Caenorhabditis elegans: one gene and its partners. The protein of the gene in region 1 purifies or fractionates together with the protein of each later gene. This does not show direct contact. Each region holds a gene or a part of one and is shown on either strand. Other genes may lie near its edges.

The links. The genes of interacting proteins can lie anywhere in the genome.
Region 2: the proteins of ctsa-1.2 (region 1) and ndk-1 fractionate together in Caenorhabditis elegans (co-fractionation; one large-scale study listed by BioGRID). This does not show direct contact.
Region 3: the proteins of ctsa-1.2 (region 1) and tald-1 fractionate together in Caenorhabditis elegans (co-fractionation; one large-scale study listed by BioGRID). This does not show direct contact.

The regions. Positions count from the first base shown.
Region 1 is NC_003280.10:11,737,455-11,743,385, reverse strand, and holds ctsa-1.2 (Serine carboxypeptidase ctsa-1.2), read right to left. Parts: upstream 4,029-5,931; 5' UTR 3,866-4,028; coding exon 3,810-3,865; intron 3,705-3,809; coding exon 3,485-3,704; intron 2,790-3,484; coding exon 2,397-2,789; intron 2,269-2,396; coding exon 1,919-2,268; intron 1,689-1,918; coding exon 1,523-1,688; intron 819-1,522; coding exon 639-818; 3' UTR 510-638; downstream 1-509.
Region 2 is NC_003279.8:10,552,584-10,555,470, reverse strand, and holds ndk-1 (Nucleoside diphosphate kinase), read left to right. Parts: upstream 1-1,557; 5' UTR 1,558-1,676; coding exon 1,677-1,729; intron 1,730-1,810; coding exon 1,811-1,904; intron 1,905-1,962; coding exon 1,963-2,277; 3' UTR 2,278-2,352; downstream 2,353-2,887. Other genes in the region: cert-1 (Ceramide transfer protein), read right to left, coding at 1-42, 411-530, 581-746, 821-834; F25H2.4 (MPN domain-containing protein), read right to left, coding at 2,546-2,714, 2,765-2,887.
Region 3 is NC_003282.8:4,384,725-4,389,415, reverse strand, and holds tald-1 (Transaldolase), read right to left. Parts: upstream 2,766-4,691; 5' UTR 2,759-2,765; coding exon 2,695-2,758; intron 1,984-2,694; coding exon 1,620-1,983; intron 1,235-1,619; coding exon 861-1,234; intron 809-860; coding exon 651-808; 3' UTR 536-650; downstream 1-535. Other genes in the region: rpl-7A (Large ribosomal subunit protein eL8), read left to right, coding at 1-17, 72-240; F55F10.1 (Midasin), read right to left, coding at 3,165-3,296.

The sequences.
Region 1 (5,931 bases):
ATCGAAAAGCGAACGCCACGCGCATCACTAATCCTAAAACCCCCACATCAAGAAAAGCACAATATGAGATCCATTCTAATTATTATTTCCTCCCGATATATAATTATTTAAGCTTCTTTTTTTCTCTATTTCTGGTATCATCTTCTCTCATTTCTCGTCTTCTACACTAATTTAATTGACTCCCCCCACAAATCTTCACCTCTTTTTTTTGTCTTCTATGTATCCCATCGATCCCTTTCCAGACCGTTTTCAACTTTTTCACACACACAAAACCCCCTAAGTTTTTTTTTCTAATTTCTTTTAATTCTCCTACCACCGTGATTTTGTAAGTTCTTCCGATCGCAAAATTAAAGATAAAAAAGTTCTCATTTATTCGGATAGCTGCCACTTCTTTTCCTCTCTTCTCCCCCTCAACCCCCCACATCTGTTTAATCCATCACAATTCTTGAAAAATGAACATCCCCCATCCCCCCATCTCTTCTTTTCCCCAAAACACCCAAAAAATCTTATTTCCCTTTTTATTCTTTTTTATTGTTTCAATTTCCAAATTCTTATAAATTGCTGGAACCTTATAACCTCTTGTGAGCTCAGTTTTTCAGACATTTATTTCAAAATTATTATCATTGTTCTCCTAACGATTAGAAGGCCTTGTTGAACAGGAACGATTGGATGATGTGCTCGGCGACGGCTGGCTTGTCGGTTGGTACCATGTGTCCGGCTCCGCGAACAGTGGCGAATGTCACCTGGGATCCCTTGTACTGTGTCACGTATCCACCGATTTGACCCTTCACAGTGAAGTGGGTCTTCTTCTTGGAGAGCTGGAAATTAAATTATGGAATTTTTACAAAACATTAAAAATCTTGGGTCTCGCAGCGATTGAGAGCTTATTGTTTAAAAATACGGTACCCGGTGTCTCGACACGACAATTTTTATGAATGCAAAACGATGTGCGCCTTTAAAGAGTAATATTTTCAAAAAAATAATTTTCGATGAAAAATCCGCAGCAACGGAAGTTTGAAACTACAGTACTCTTTAAAGGCGCACAGCTTCGCTCATTCAACAAAAATTTATCGTGTCGAGACCCGGCGCCGTATTGTTTGGAAAAACTTTGGGTCTGGATAATATATAGATATCTTTTTATTGAAAAAAGCAAAAACTGTGGTTTATGCCCAAACAAATACGGTGCCCGGTCTCGAAGCGATTGATTTTTTTTTGAATGTAAAAGATTTTGCGCCTTTCAGGAGTACTGTAGCTCGAAATTTTGAAATTTGCTTTGCTGTTTCATGATTTTTTCTCACAATTTCATGCATTTTGAAATATTTGAAATTTTTAATTCCCGTTTTTCGAACTTTTTACTAAAAATGAGACTAAATTGAGAAAAAACTACAGTACCCCTTAAAGGCGCACACTCCTTTTTCATTTAAAAAATCGATCGTGTCAAAACTAGGTACCGTAGTATTGAAAATCACGAAAAACTAAAAAACATCTGCGCCTCTAAACTTTTAAACATAAAATAGCCTACCGTAAGACCGAGCTTGTCAGTGAATCTCTGTCCCATAAGAGCATTACAGGCCAAATCGACGTCTCCGTTGTAGAGCATCATTTTCAGATTGTTGTTGTTGACGGCGTTCAGAACACGGGAAGTCATGTCTCCGTATTGTCTCTTGTAACCGTACGAGATGGCGTTACTGGAAATAATATCATTTTACTGTGGAGCATGTAGGCAAATTCGCCCACCGATTTTGAGTAAAATATTTGGAAAAGGTATATCTTATTTGCTATTGGACATACAAAAAAGTTGTCGGCAAAATGTGCAAAACTTTAAGAGCTTTAATTTGTTAGTTGACAACCTTTTTTTAACACTTGTAGATTTTGAGATATATAGGTTTTTACACAATGCAAAATTTTAGAATCTTACCTGCAAATCGACCAAGCTGGAAGAGAAGATGGAATTCCGAGTGCCTTACGCACATCCTGACGGTTCAAATAATTGGTTACTGGGCTCTCATCAAGACATGGAACGGTTCCAAGAACCTCTGGTGTGTACTTCTTATTGAATCTTCTCTCATACTCCATTCCGAAACGGAAGCTTGCGCTGGTGGAGATGCAGTCGGCGTACATGTTGTATGGGTTGAGACCTCCGTTCCAGGCGGTCTGTTGGGTAGCTTCAACGAATTCTCCGCAGGCCGAGAACTCGCTGAACGAGTGCCATGGGCAGGCATCAGTGTCGTTGTGGCAGCACGAGGTCTTCATGTGCTCCCATTTGGCCTGGAAGTGTTTTTTTATTGAAAATAGATTTAGGCGTATGTTTAGGTTTGAGCTTAAAATGAGGCTTAGGTTCAGGCTTAGAATTAGGCTTAGGCTTCCTATTTTCAAATATTCAAAACTGCCCCAACCTGATCAACAACTCCGTGATGGTACAAGAAGTTGACAAGTGAGTCAACTCCCTCGTTAGCTGAAACACATCCGTTTCCGATTGCGAGTCCCTTAATATTGATATGAGATTGTGATTGACGATCCAAAATAGTCTGAACAAGTGTTGGAACATAGATTCCACCGTACGACTCTCCAGTCACATAGAAATCGTTTCCCTTGTATTGTGGGAACTCATTGAAGAAAGCGACGAGGGCTTCCCAATTCTCACTGGCTGTCTGGTCGTCTCCGGTTGCAATATTGTTGTCTGTGGCGTAAGAGTATCCAACTCCGGCTGGAGCTTCAAGGGTGAGAATTGAGGCATTCTTGTTCCAGGAGTATGGATTGGTGCGAAGGGTGGCTCCGTCGGTGTTGACCTGGAAAAACAAAACTGTTAATAAATCTTCTTTGTAGGTGCTTCTCTACCTTTTATGTTTGCTTAAATTTCAGCAAAAGTGACATGTTTCTAGATGTCACTTGAGAAATAACTTTTCTTAAAATATTTCGATGTCGTACATTTTCAAAAATTCACGATTTAAAACAAAATTTCTAACGGCAATTTTTTTAAACACAATTTTTTATGGTAACAATATATACTTTTTTAATAGTTTGTATCTCGCTTATTTTAAAATTTATCAAACATTTGTAAACTACAAAGTGTAGATCACAATGTGATGCACATTATAAGTAGTTGGCGGTTTTTGATAAATTGAAAATGGTAGAGATAAGAGCCATCAAAGTTGACATATATAGTGTCCCTAGAAAATCGGTAGGTGGGCGAGAAAAAAAAACATGAAAACTAGAAGTAAAAACAACGGAATATTATCAGTGATAGTGGTATTGTTAGAAATAAAAAAAAACATATTTTCACAAGAATATAGGAAAATGGAGTAATTGGGTTTCAGGGCACGAAGACTCAGAGGAACTATAGAATATTGTAGCTATACATTTTTCAAATAACACGAACCTATTTTTTGGAACCTCTTTTTTACCTTACATGTTAATTTATCCACAATATTTTGTAGCTAAAATGTTAGCTTTTTGCGCAATTTTCCGCTCCCCTCAAACTCACATTCCATGGTCCCCACTCGGTGAGAAGAGCTGACAATCCGGAGCATCCTGGTCCACCGGTAAGCCAGAGAAGAACTGGATCAGTTGATGGGTTGCTTTGAGACTCGACGAACCAGTAGTGGAGCATATGATTCTTCTTGGTTCCCACATTGTAGTAGCCCGAATATTGCTTGAAGTTTGAGATTGGAGCTCCAGGGAGATTTGTGATCAGAGCGGATTCGCTGAAATGAGAAACTACACAGTTGTTTTTAGGTTTTTTGTATTTTAATTTTTTAATAGGCGGTAGGCAGGCATGAAAGCTTAGAAGCCTTCTAAAGGTTACTTACCAAACATATGCGAAGCCGAGGAGCGCCACAAGTACAAGTGTCCTGCTCATGACCATCCTTCTTGTGATAAAAATCAGAAGAAACCGTACTTTTCCTAATACGGACTATATAGTGACAGAATAGGAGGAGTCTGTCCCGCATTTTTATAACCTTATCACTTTTTCAGCTTATCATCTGATGTTTTAAGCCGATTGTGCCCATCGTCGCGTCTGAATCTCTATCTTTTGAAACTGTACTGATAAGTTGATAACATCATCAAGTTCGGATCCGGGAGAAGGCAGCCAAGAGAAAAGTGGGGATTGTTTTAGTGCAAGATAAGTGGGATGCACTTCACGTACCTCTCTTCAAACAAAAGTTGTAACCTGCGGGAGTTCATATTTTTCGAGAAATTGGTTCAGAAACATTTTTAAATTTTTTAAAAATTAGTTTTTAATTGATAATTTGGATTTTCAATTGCTAATTTATTTATTCTAACTTCTACAATGTTTCAATCTGCCAATCTGAGTAAAAGCGGCTGGCATTTTACAGGCTCAAGGGGGCTTTTATTTTTATAGGACATGTAAAACAAAATAGAATCTTTAAAATTGTAGTACAATAATTCCAACAACGTGTAATAGCGGCCGACGTCTTACGGCTTCCAACATGTTAGAAAAAACTGACAGTAAGTTTGGGAGCTCATATCTCTGTGCTCATTGATTTAATCAAAAAATTTTAACTACAAACTTATGCGTCATATTATAATCTATAGTTTTGTAGTTGACATATTTTTGATAGCACTGAAAATAACCGAGATATGTGCACCAAGAACTCTCTCTTTCTTTATCAAGGCCATGATTCAACTTGTTTTTATTTTGTTTTTAACGTTTACCGGAAATATATACACGCTGGAAAATTTAGAAAGTTTTCCTCAAAAACTATAATTGTTTTTTCTGCAGAAATTTGGAATTTTTATTGCTAAACTCTTATCAGACGACAACATCCGCCTGTAGTATGTTTTTTTTCTTCTGAAACCAACTTTCGATTTTATAGCCTCGTGTGCAATTTTCTCCAACTGACGTCAGTGCTCTTCGTGGAATTACAAAATTGTCAGCAAAAAACAGTTCATCTTGGGGCAAAGTTGAGGGGATTATCATTATTGCAGACACATTTATGATAAGAATCATTCACGAAAAACGTAGTTTTCATAATTATTGTGCACAATTTATGAAAGTCATTTGAAGGGAAGGAAGAAAGTTAGGGGAAGAGTTGGAAAAAGATTAGAATTTTAGGGTTAGGCTTAGGCTTAAGATCAAGCCTATGCTTAGTCTTAGGCTTAGGTGTAGGTTTAGGCATAGGCTAAGGCTAAGTATGGGCTCAGGTTTACGCTTAGGCCTAGTCTAAGACTTAGGACTAGGCTTAGACTAAGGCTTAGACTTAGGCTTAGGTTTAAGCTCTACTTAGGCTTAATTATAACGTAAGCTTAAGGTTGGAGGTTGGTTTTTTTTTAGTTTTTTCAAGTTTTTAATAATTTTTGTTAATGTTCAAGGAATGTTAAAGTATATTTATAAAGAAAATTAAATAAATTTCAGCTAAACAATCGCAATCGAAAGGCTGAAAAATTGTGCAATCAGAAAACAAAAAAAGTATTCTTTCTGAAATTTCAGATTTTGAATATATATTTTTTTTATAAGCTCATCTCAAAGTGTCCCCCCCCCCAGAACTTGGACTGAAACATATAAAATCTTTAGAAAAATTGAAAATCTTCACCATGATTTGTTCAAACAAAATCCCGTCTCAACTTCAAATTCCGACAAACCCAAATCCCTGAGCGGCACCCCATAAAAACATGTTTTGAAGCATCTCTCAACACTTTCTTCATTTCTTTTACTTTTCTAATTCTATACAATTTACTTTGAAACTATTTTTCGATGATGATCATCATCATCACCATTCTACCGAAAGATTGTCAAAAAGTTGGGCAAGCCTCGAAGAACCGACGAGAGAGTGGGTAATCCTGAAGAGACGCAGGTCCTTGGGAGTGAAAAACCGGTCTCTCTATGACAATGACGACGAGAGAGAGAGGATTCTGTCATACACTTTGTAATAGTCGATATGAAGAGAATGAGTACTATGACACTATGGA
Region 2 (2,887 bases), on another chromosome or scaffold:
ACTTTTAGTGCTAGTCGAGCTATAATCCGAATCGTTTTGTACCTGAAAATTATTGATTTTCCCATTGAAGTTTTAACTTGATTTCTCTGATTCTAAAAGTAGAATTTCGAAGTGAACGATTTTTTATATTTTATAGCCTCGTACTATTCCCGAACTTTCAATTGACTTTTGTGTGCCACCGTCCGTACTATATATTTACACGGGATGACAAAATCAGGTAAAGATCAACAATGGTGTTTTTGATGTAAAAAGGAACATAAGAGAGGTGTTTGAACTATGATCGGAGCATATTTAAACGAAGAATATACAACTTTTTATCTCGTAATTACTCCGAGAGAATCGCTGGGGAAGTAATTTTTTGAAAAAATTATGTTTTAAAAATACCAAATTCAGATTCAGAAAACACTCACTGTTTCCCGGACAACTGATCGCATCCATAGAAGTTTTGACTGTGAATTCTCTGCTTTCAAATACCAGACAACGTTTTCGCCCATAGATATTGAGAATTCGTTTTCATCAAATTCGTGGGCCTAAATTTTTAAATATACAAGAACTTTCTGAGAAATCAATAAAAGCTCACAGCTATTATTGCACTTTTGAGAAATATGCTTCCTCTGCATCCGTGGGATTTTTCGGCTTTTGACAGATAATAAACAAGATTTCCCTCTGTGATTTCAAAGTATCGATCTTGCCATCCATTCACGTAGTTTGTCCATTTTTTCATCACCCCATTCGTGGGAAGGACACTGGAATGAGATAAATTATATTAGAATTTATCATTGAAACAATTTCTGTAATTTAAAATATCTACAAAACTCACACTTCGCTCTCCATCGGCTTCGTTCGCGAATCAGCAGGTGATAAATGATAAGACAGAGGCTCTCTTTCCGAGAGACTTTCCCCGTTTCGATACAGTTTTGCTCTCACTTTGTTCTGCAAACAAAGCTCACGGTTTGGTAGGCAAACAGTTAAATGGTAGTCGATGGCAGAAAAGAAAGAGTATAGACAACCTTACATTTAGTCGATTCTAAACATAGGGCGTCGAAGGTGGCGAATATGGGAGAACCGGTTTCCTTGTACTGCAAATAGTTTTGTGAAGTAGTGTCTGAAACGAAAAAAGAAATTTGCGGAGCCAGGTCATCAAGCATGAAATAAAGTTCGACGCGTAACGAGGCACAATAGTTTAATGGGAATATGCAGAGCGTTTGTGCTTGTTGCATGGAGACACGAAAAGCAGACATAAGTCATAGAACTTGAGACAAAGTGTAATAAACTATTTATGTCACACGCGTTTTTTCAGATATCAAATGCAGCGATTCACTTCTCAATGTGTTTTGACGTTACAGGTGACGTTAAATTCCGATTTTTGTTCAATAATCCCGATGAAATTTCATATGAAGAAAACCAGTTTGACAGAACATAATTCTCGCAAAAGGTTCAATTGGTGTCCAAAAAAATTGGTCGAAAACAGTGGTCAGTAAAGGCGCTCCATTGCAATTCTGGCACAAAGCCAAGAATGCTGCGAGGTCGGGTCTCGCCACGTGCTGAAGTACGGTTACACTCGTTTCATTTGTGTCGGAGTTGATTGAATGGGCGCCGGCGGGTTATTCTTTTCACTTGCGTTCGTCGCTGTCGCCTGTGCTGTTGACACCTGTTCCAAGTTGGATTGTCCGAAAATGAGCAACACTGAGAGAACCTTCATCGCCATCAAGCCTGATGGAGTCCACCGGTTAGTTATCTTTGAAGAAACTTATTCTAGCATCCTCAATGGATTTTAGGATTTTCAAAATCCTAATTTTTTAAATTTCAGTGGTCTCGTCGGAAAGATCATCGCTCGTTTTGAAGAGCGCGGATACAAGCTTGTTGCTCTCAAGCAGATGACCGCCTCCAAGGCCCATCTTGAGGTACGTTTTCACGAAATTACAAAATTTTAGGCCCAACCAGTTAAATTATTATTTTTAGGTTCACTACCAAGACCTCAAGGACAAACCATTCTTCCCATCCCTCATCGAGTACATGAGCTCTGGACCAGTCGTCGCCATGGTCTGGCAAGGACTTGACGTCGTCAAGCAAGGACGTTCCATGCTCGGAGCTACCAACCCACTCGCTTCCGCCCCAGGAACCATCCGCGGAGACTTCTGCATCCAAACCGGACGCAATATCTGCCACGGATCCGATGCCGTTGACTCTGCCAACCGCGAGATTGCTCACTGGTTCAAGCAGGAGGAGATCAACGACTACGCCAGCCCATTCATCAACTCATGGGTCTACGAATAAACTGATTGCTTATGTCTCCCGGTGTTTTCACCGTTTTCGTATCTCTGCTGAATGTTGATAAAGTATTGCTTCCCACCTAAAACATCGTTTTTGTTGACATCTATTCCTGCGCATTCTCTAATGCGTTTTCATGGCAACCAATCCTACACGACTCAGCTGTCATCAAATCTTTTATTCAACCCGAAAACGGAAGGGGATTAAACATATAATATATTCAGATGACTGCAATAAGTTATGAAAACACGAATTAGGATAATAATTTCAGCTTTTAAGCTCTGAATTCCGCCACTTGCACGAGTTTGTTGCTCAGATTTGTGTTATAGAAGTCGAACTCGGGATTGTCCAAATGGTTTTCGAAATCGGAAAGCTCTCGGTACAACTTCTTCTGAATAACAGCTTGAAGGCCACGCAAGAAGTTGGAACCTTGGAAAATCGTTCTGAAATGAATATACTAAATGAATATATAACATCAAATGTTTTTTCCTACTTCGTTTCTTTCCAACTATCTCCATCTTTTTCATATGCCACGAGGCGGTCTTGTTCACAATCTGACACCAGTCTTTCGTTCATCACTTGTACGAGAATCGCTGCCGAAGAGGTAACAGAAGAT
Region 3 (4,691 bases), on another chromosome or scaffold:
CTCGTCGATGTCAACCCGTAAGTTTCAGATTCTATAGTTTCTTGAGCAAATAATTATTTCTTTGTATTCAGAGAGGACAAATCTGCCTTGAACAAGCTCGTCGAGACCGTCAACAACAACTTCAGCGAGCGTCACGAGGAGATCCGCAAGCACTGGGGAGGAGGTGTCATGTCCGCCAAGTCTGATGCCAAGAAGCTCAAGATCGAGCGCGCTCGTGCCCGTGATCTTGGAAAGCTCTAAATTGTTTTTGTTGATAATAAAAACTTGTTATTCAAAGCTTGTATCTTTTTCAATAATTGGTAGTCTTCGTGGTACTCATTTGGATCGGTCTTGTTGGATATTGTTGAGAACAGTTTTCCCGAGAAGTGTCTCCCTAGTTCGTCGTTGTCTTGGAGCTTGCTGGTTGTCTGCGATATGGTTTCACTGAACAATTCTAGTTGGGTTCAATTCCGGGTGTCACAGCCACAACTGTCCAGAAACTTGCAGAGTGCGATAAGAGTTCGGCTATTTTGTGTATCTTGCCTTTACAGTGCTCTTTAAATTACATAAGGGTTCATTAAAATACGTAACGAAATATTTAAGGGGAAATCACAACACTGATGAAATTGGGGAAAACTAGTAAGCACGACAAATACATCAATCAATACAATTTAGATCTTTGCCTCGATAAGCTTCTCCAGAGTTCTGGCGTCTTTGGCAAAGTTGCGGATTCCTTCGGCGAGCTTCTCGGTGGCCATGGCGTCCTCGTTGAGAGCCCATCTGAACGCCTTCTCGTCAATGCTCACTTTCGGCAGGTCGAGTGTCTTGGCTGGAAAATAATTAAAAATTGCAATTTTTAATTGATTAAATCTCCCGCTCACCATGAGAAGTGGAGAGCACAACTGGAGCAAGTTCCGTCTCCGCAGCAAGTTGCTTCAGAAGAGCCGGAGAAATAGTAAGAAGATCACATCCAACAAGTCCCTTGATCTCTTCAGTATTACGGAACGAGGCAGCCATCACTTGTGTCTTATAGTCGTATTTCTTGTAATAATTAAAGATTCGAGTAACACTGACAACTCCTGGATCGTCTTTTCGAGTGTAGGCCTTCTGATCGGTATTCTTCACGAACCAATCCATGATTCTTCCGACGAATGGCGAGATTAGGGTGACTCCTGACTCGGCACACGCGACTGCTTGCTCAAAGTTGAAGAGCAGTGTCATGTTGCAGTGGATTCCGTGCTTAGATTCGAGGAATCTGAAAATTTAATTTTTTGCTGATTTTGAACTATTTCCGTTATAATTAATGCCTTAAACTCTTTTGAAAAATGTCAATTTGGGTCCAATTGAGTAGATTTTCAGTAGAAAACTAATAGAAACGAGACTTTGTATGTTTCGAAAAGGTATGTCCGTAGATTTTAGGTGATTTACAAGAAAAATCGAAGCATTTCTAGTTTTTAATTTAAAATGTGTTAATTTTTAACAATTTCATCTTGTATAATTCGTTTTTTAATTGATTTTTTCGAAACTAGTAGTGTTTTAAACCAAGCAAATCATCAAAAATGGGTAAAATTTCATCAAGTTTGATTTTTAAAAAAAAGTTTTTTAACTGAAAAGTTTTCCTAAAATCTCCAATGCCGTACTTAGCAGCCCGAATTCCTTCCCAAGTTGAAGCAAGTTTGATAAGAATCCGATCCTTCGAGATTCCTTCCTTCTCGTATTGAGCAATAAGTCCAAGAGCCCGATCAATCGATGCTTGAGTATCAAATGAAAGACGAGCATCAACTTCTGTGGAAACTCTTCCTGGAATAGTTTTCAGGATTTCTTTTCCAAAAACTACAAAAAGTCGATCCATAGCCGCTTGGAGCACTTCTTGATGTCCACTGGCGTGCTCTTTTGCGTAGGCAACTGATTGATCGATTAATGCTGCGTATTGCTCCATTTTTGAGGCGGCCAGGATGAGCGATGGGTTGGTAGTTGCATCTGTTGGCTGGAATTCCTTGATCGCTGAAAAAAATCGATTTTTTGAGAACAATTTTTGAAAAAAGTACTTTTTTCAACTGGAAAATTCGAGTTTTATTTTTCGATTTTTGACTTTTTACACAAAATCGAGGAAAAAAACAAAGGTGTGCGCCTTTAAGACTTACAGTAACCCATTTCCTGATTTTTTAAATTAATTTTTCACGCTTTTCATCTAAATTCTTGAGAGAAAACGTTGAAAAATGAAAAAAAAAACGAAATTGAAGGAACGTCTGGGTACTGTACTTTTGAAAGGCGCAAACACATTTTTTTCAAAATAAATATTTTTCACCAGTATTTACAAAAATTTAGAAAAAAGAGAATTCATCGAATTATCCAAAAAAAGTTTTTCACAGCTTTTTTTGGAATTTTTGAAAAATTCTAATTTTTAAATGGCACATTCCAGAAATTTACAATACTTCCATAAAATTTAATAGTATTTATTTTTAAAATGTTTTAACGAATTTTTTGGAAACTTCTTGAAAATATGTATTTTTTTCTCTAAAAAAATTAATTTAAAAAGTTCAAAAAGTCAGATTTCTATCTGAAAATCGAGAAATTTACTGTTTTTTACATTATAACAGTGGTCTTCCTAGAAAAATCGAATTTTCAGATAATTTAATTTTTTTTCAAAACTGCCAAAAAAAATCAATTATTCACCACATTTTCGAACTTTTTCTTAATGTTCAAAATTTTTACCATTAAAATCTCCAGTATCCGCAACAACGACTGATGCTCCTTTGAGTTGTTCCAAAACCGACATGATTTCCCTAGAAAAAGTCAAAAAAAAATCAATAATCGTGAAAATTACGGGAAAAATCGCGTGAGAGAGATCGAATGGAAAGTGCAGCCCATTGATAGCATCAAAGATAACAAAAACCGTATCAAAAAAATTTCAAATTTTTAATAGATATAATGATAATGATAATTCGACTAACCAATGTGAAAACAATGAACAATGAACAAAAAATAACAAAAAAGGGGGAAAATTTCAAAAAAAAAGTAACAACTCATAAAAAAATGACGATAAAAGGAGTAGGGAAGTGAGAAAAACAGTTTTCGAAAAAAAGTAACAAAAATGATGATAAAAAGGTATAAAGTAAAGTAGTAACAAAAAAACAAGAATATGACTAAATGTGTGTAGTTTGCAGTCTGTAGTTTGTAGCCTCTCAACTATGATGTGTCGTCGTCATTTCGAACCATTGACGAATCGATTCGGCAATCACCGATGGTAGTTGTTGAACTGATTTGACGAGAGCGTAGAATGGGAACGGGAACAGGGCGAGGTATGGCGTGAGTACCTGCAGGAAAAATTGGAAATTGTCAGCAGTTTTATGGGGGCAAATGGCAAGAGAATCGGGGGGTTTTCGAGAAAAAAAAGAAAGTAAATATTGTTCTTTGTAGTCAAATATGATCAAATTTCACACATTTTTTTGGGAATTTTAACACGAAAAAAAGGAAAAATCTTCAAAAATTGGAAAATTTATTGAGTTTTGAAATTTATTTGCGAAATTCCTTTCGAATATTTTGACCTAGTTTCAATTTTTTGTTTCATTTTTTAAATATTATTTTAAACACAATTTCTCACATTTTCAGACAGTTTTCCGCAAAAAATTATTTAAAAATGTGAAATTATCGATTTTTAGGTCAAAATTGAAGCGAAAATCGTCAAAATGCCAAAAAAGTCTACTGAAATTTAAATTTCAGACCTAAAAATATACAAATAATCGGCCATAGAAGACTGAAATAACGAAAAAAAAACTTTTGTAATTTTAAAAGCAAATTTTTGCTGAAAATCCTATAATTACCGTAACCTCGGCGTTTGTTCAATATCGAGAATGGAAAATTACCAGTTTTTAAAAAATTAAAATTAAAAAAAACGTTTTTTGTAGTCAAATATGATCAAATTTCACACATTTTTTGGGTATTTTAAATGAGCGGCAATTCTAGAAAATGGTCTGTTGCACCATGTTGTTCCAACATTTTTACAACTTGAAATTAGTTTAAAAATATGAAAAATCACTCGATTTATTTGAAAATAACATTAATTTCAGCTGAAGCCTTCGAGAAAATGCCCAGAAATGGCTTGAAAGTTGACTAATTTCGGCAATTGTCAACTTTCTGGCCTTTTTTGAGCAATTTCTCAAATTTTCAGTCGAATAAATGTCATTTTCAGATAAATCAACTAATTTTCTATACTTTGACACTAATTTTGGAGGAAAATGTTGAAAATGCATGGTGCTACGTCACCTCGAAAACAATTTTTTTTTCAGAGTGTAACTTCAAATAAAATGGAAAATGTATATTTTTTTAATTGGATTTTTCTTTAAAAAATACCCATAATAATCTAAAACTGGGATATTTTTGAAAAAAAACATATTTCCAGTCAAAAATAGCAGATTTCAACTGAAATCGTCTGATTTTGAAATTTTAAACATGCCAATTACAAGTTTTGGGTGAAAATGTTGATTTTTTAAACCAAAATTGGCAAATTTTCACTAAATTGCCCCGATTTCTAGCTAAAAAAATCCTGGAATGTTGAAAATGTGATTTTTTGAATGAAAATTTGCGAAATTCTATCTGAATCAATTTTTAGAAAATTTTCGGGTTAAAAAAATCGATTTTTCAATTTTATTCGATTTATTAGTTTTTTAAAAATTAAATCGTTCAAAATAACATCTGAAAAATTTTTTTCC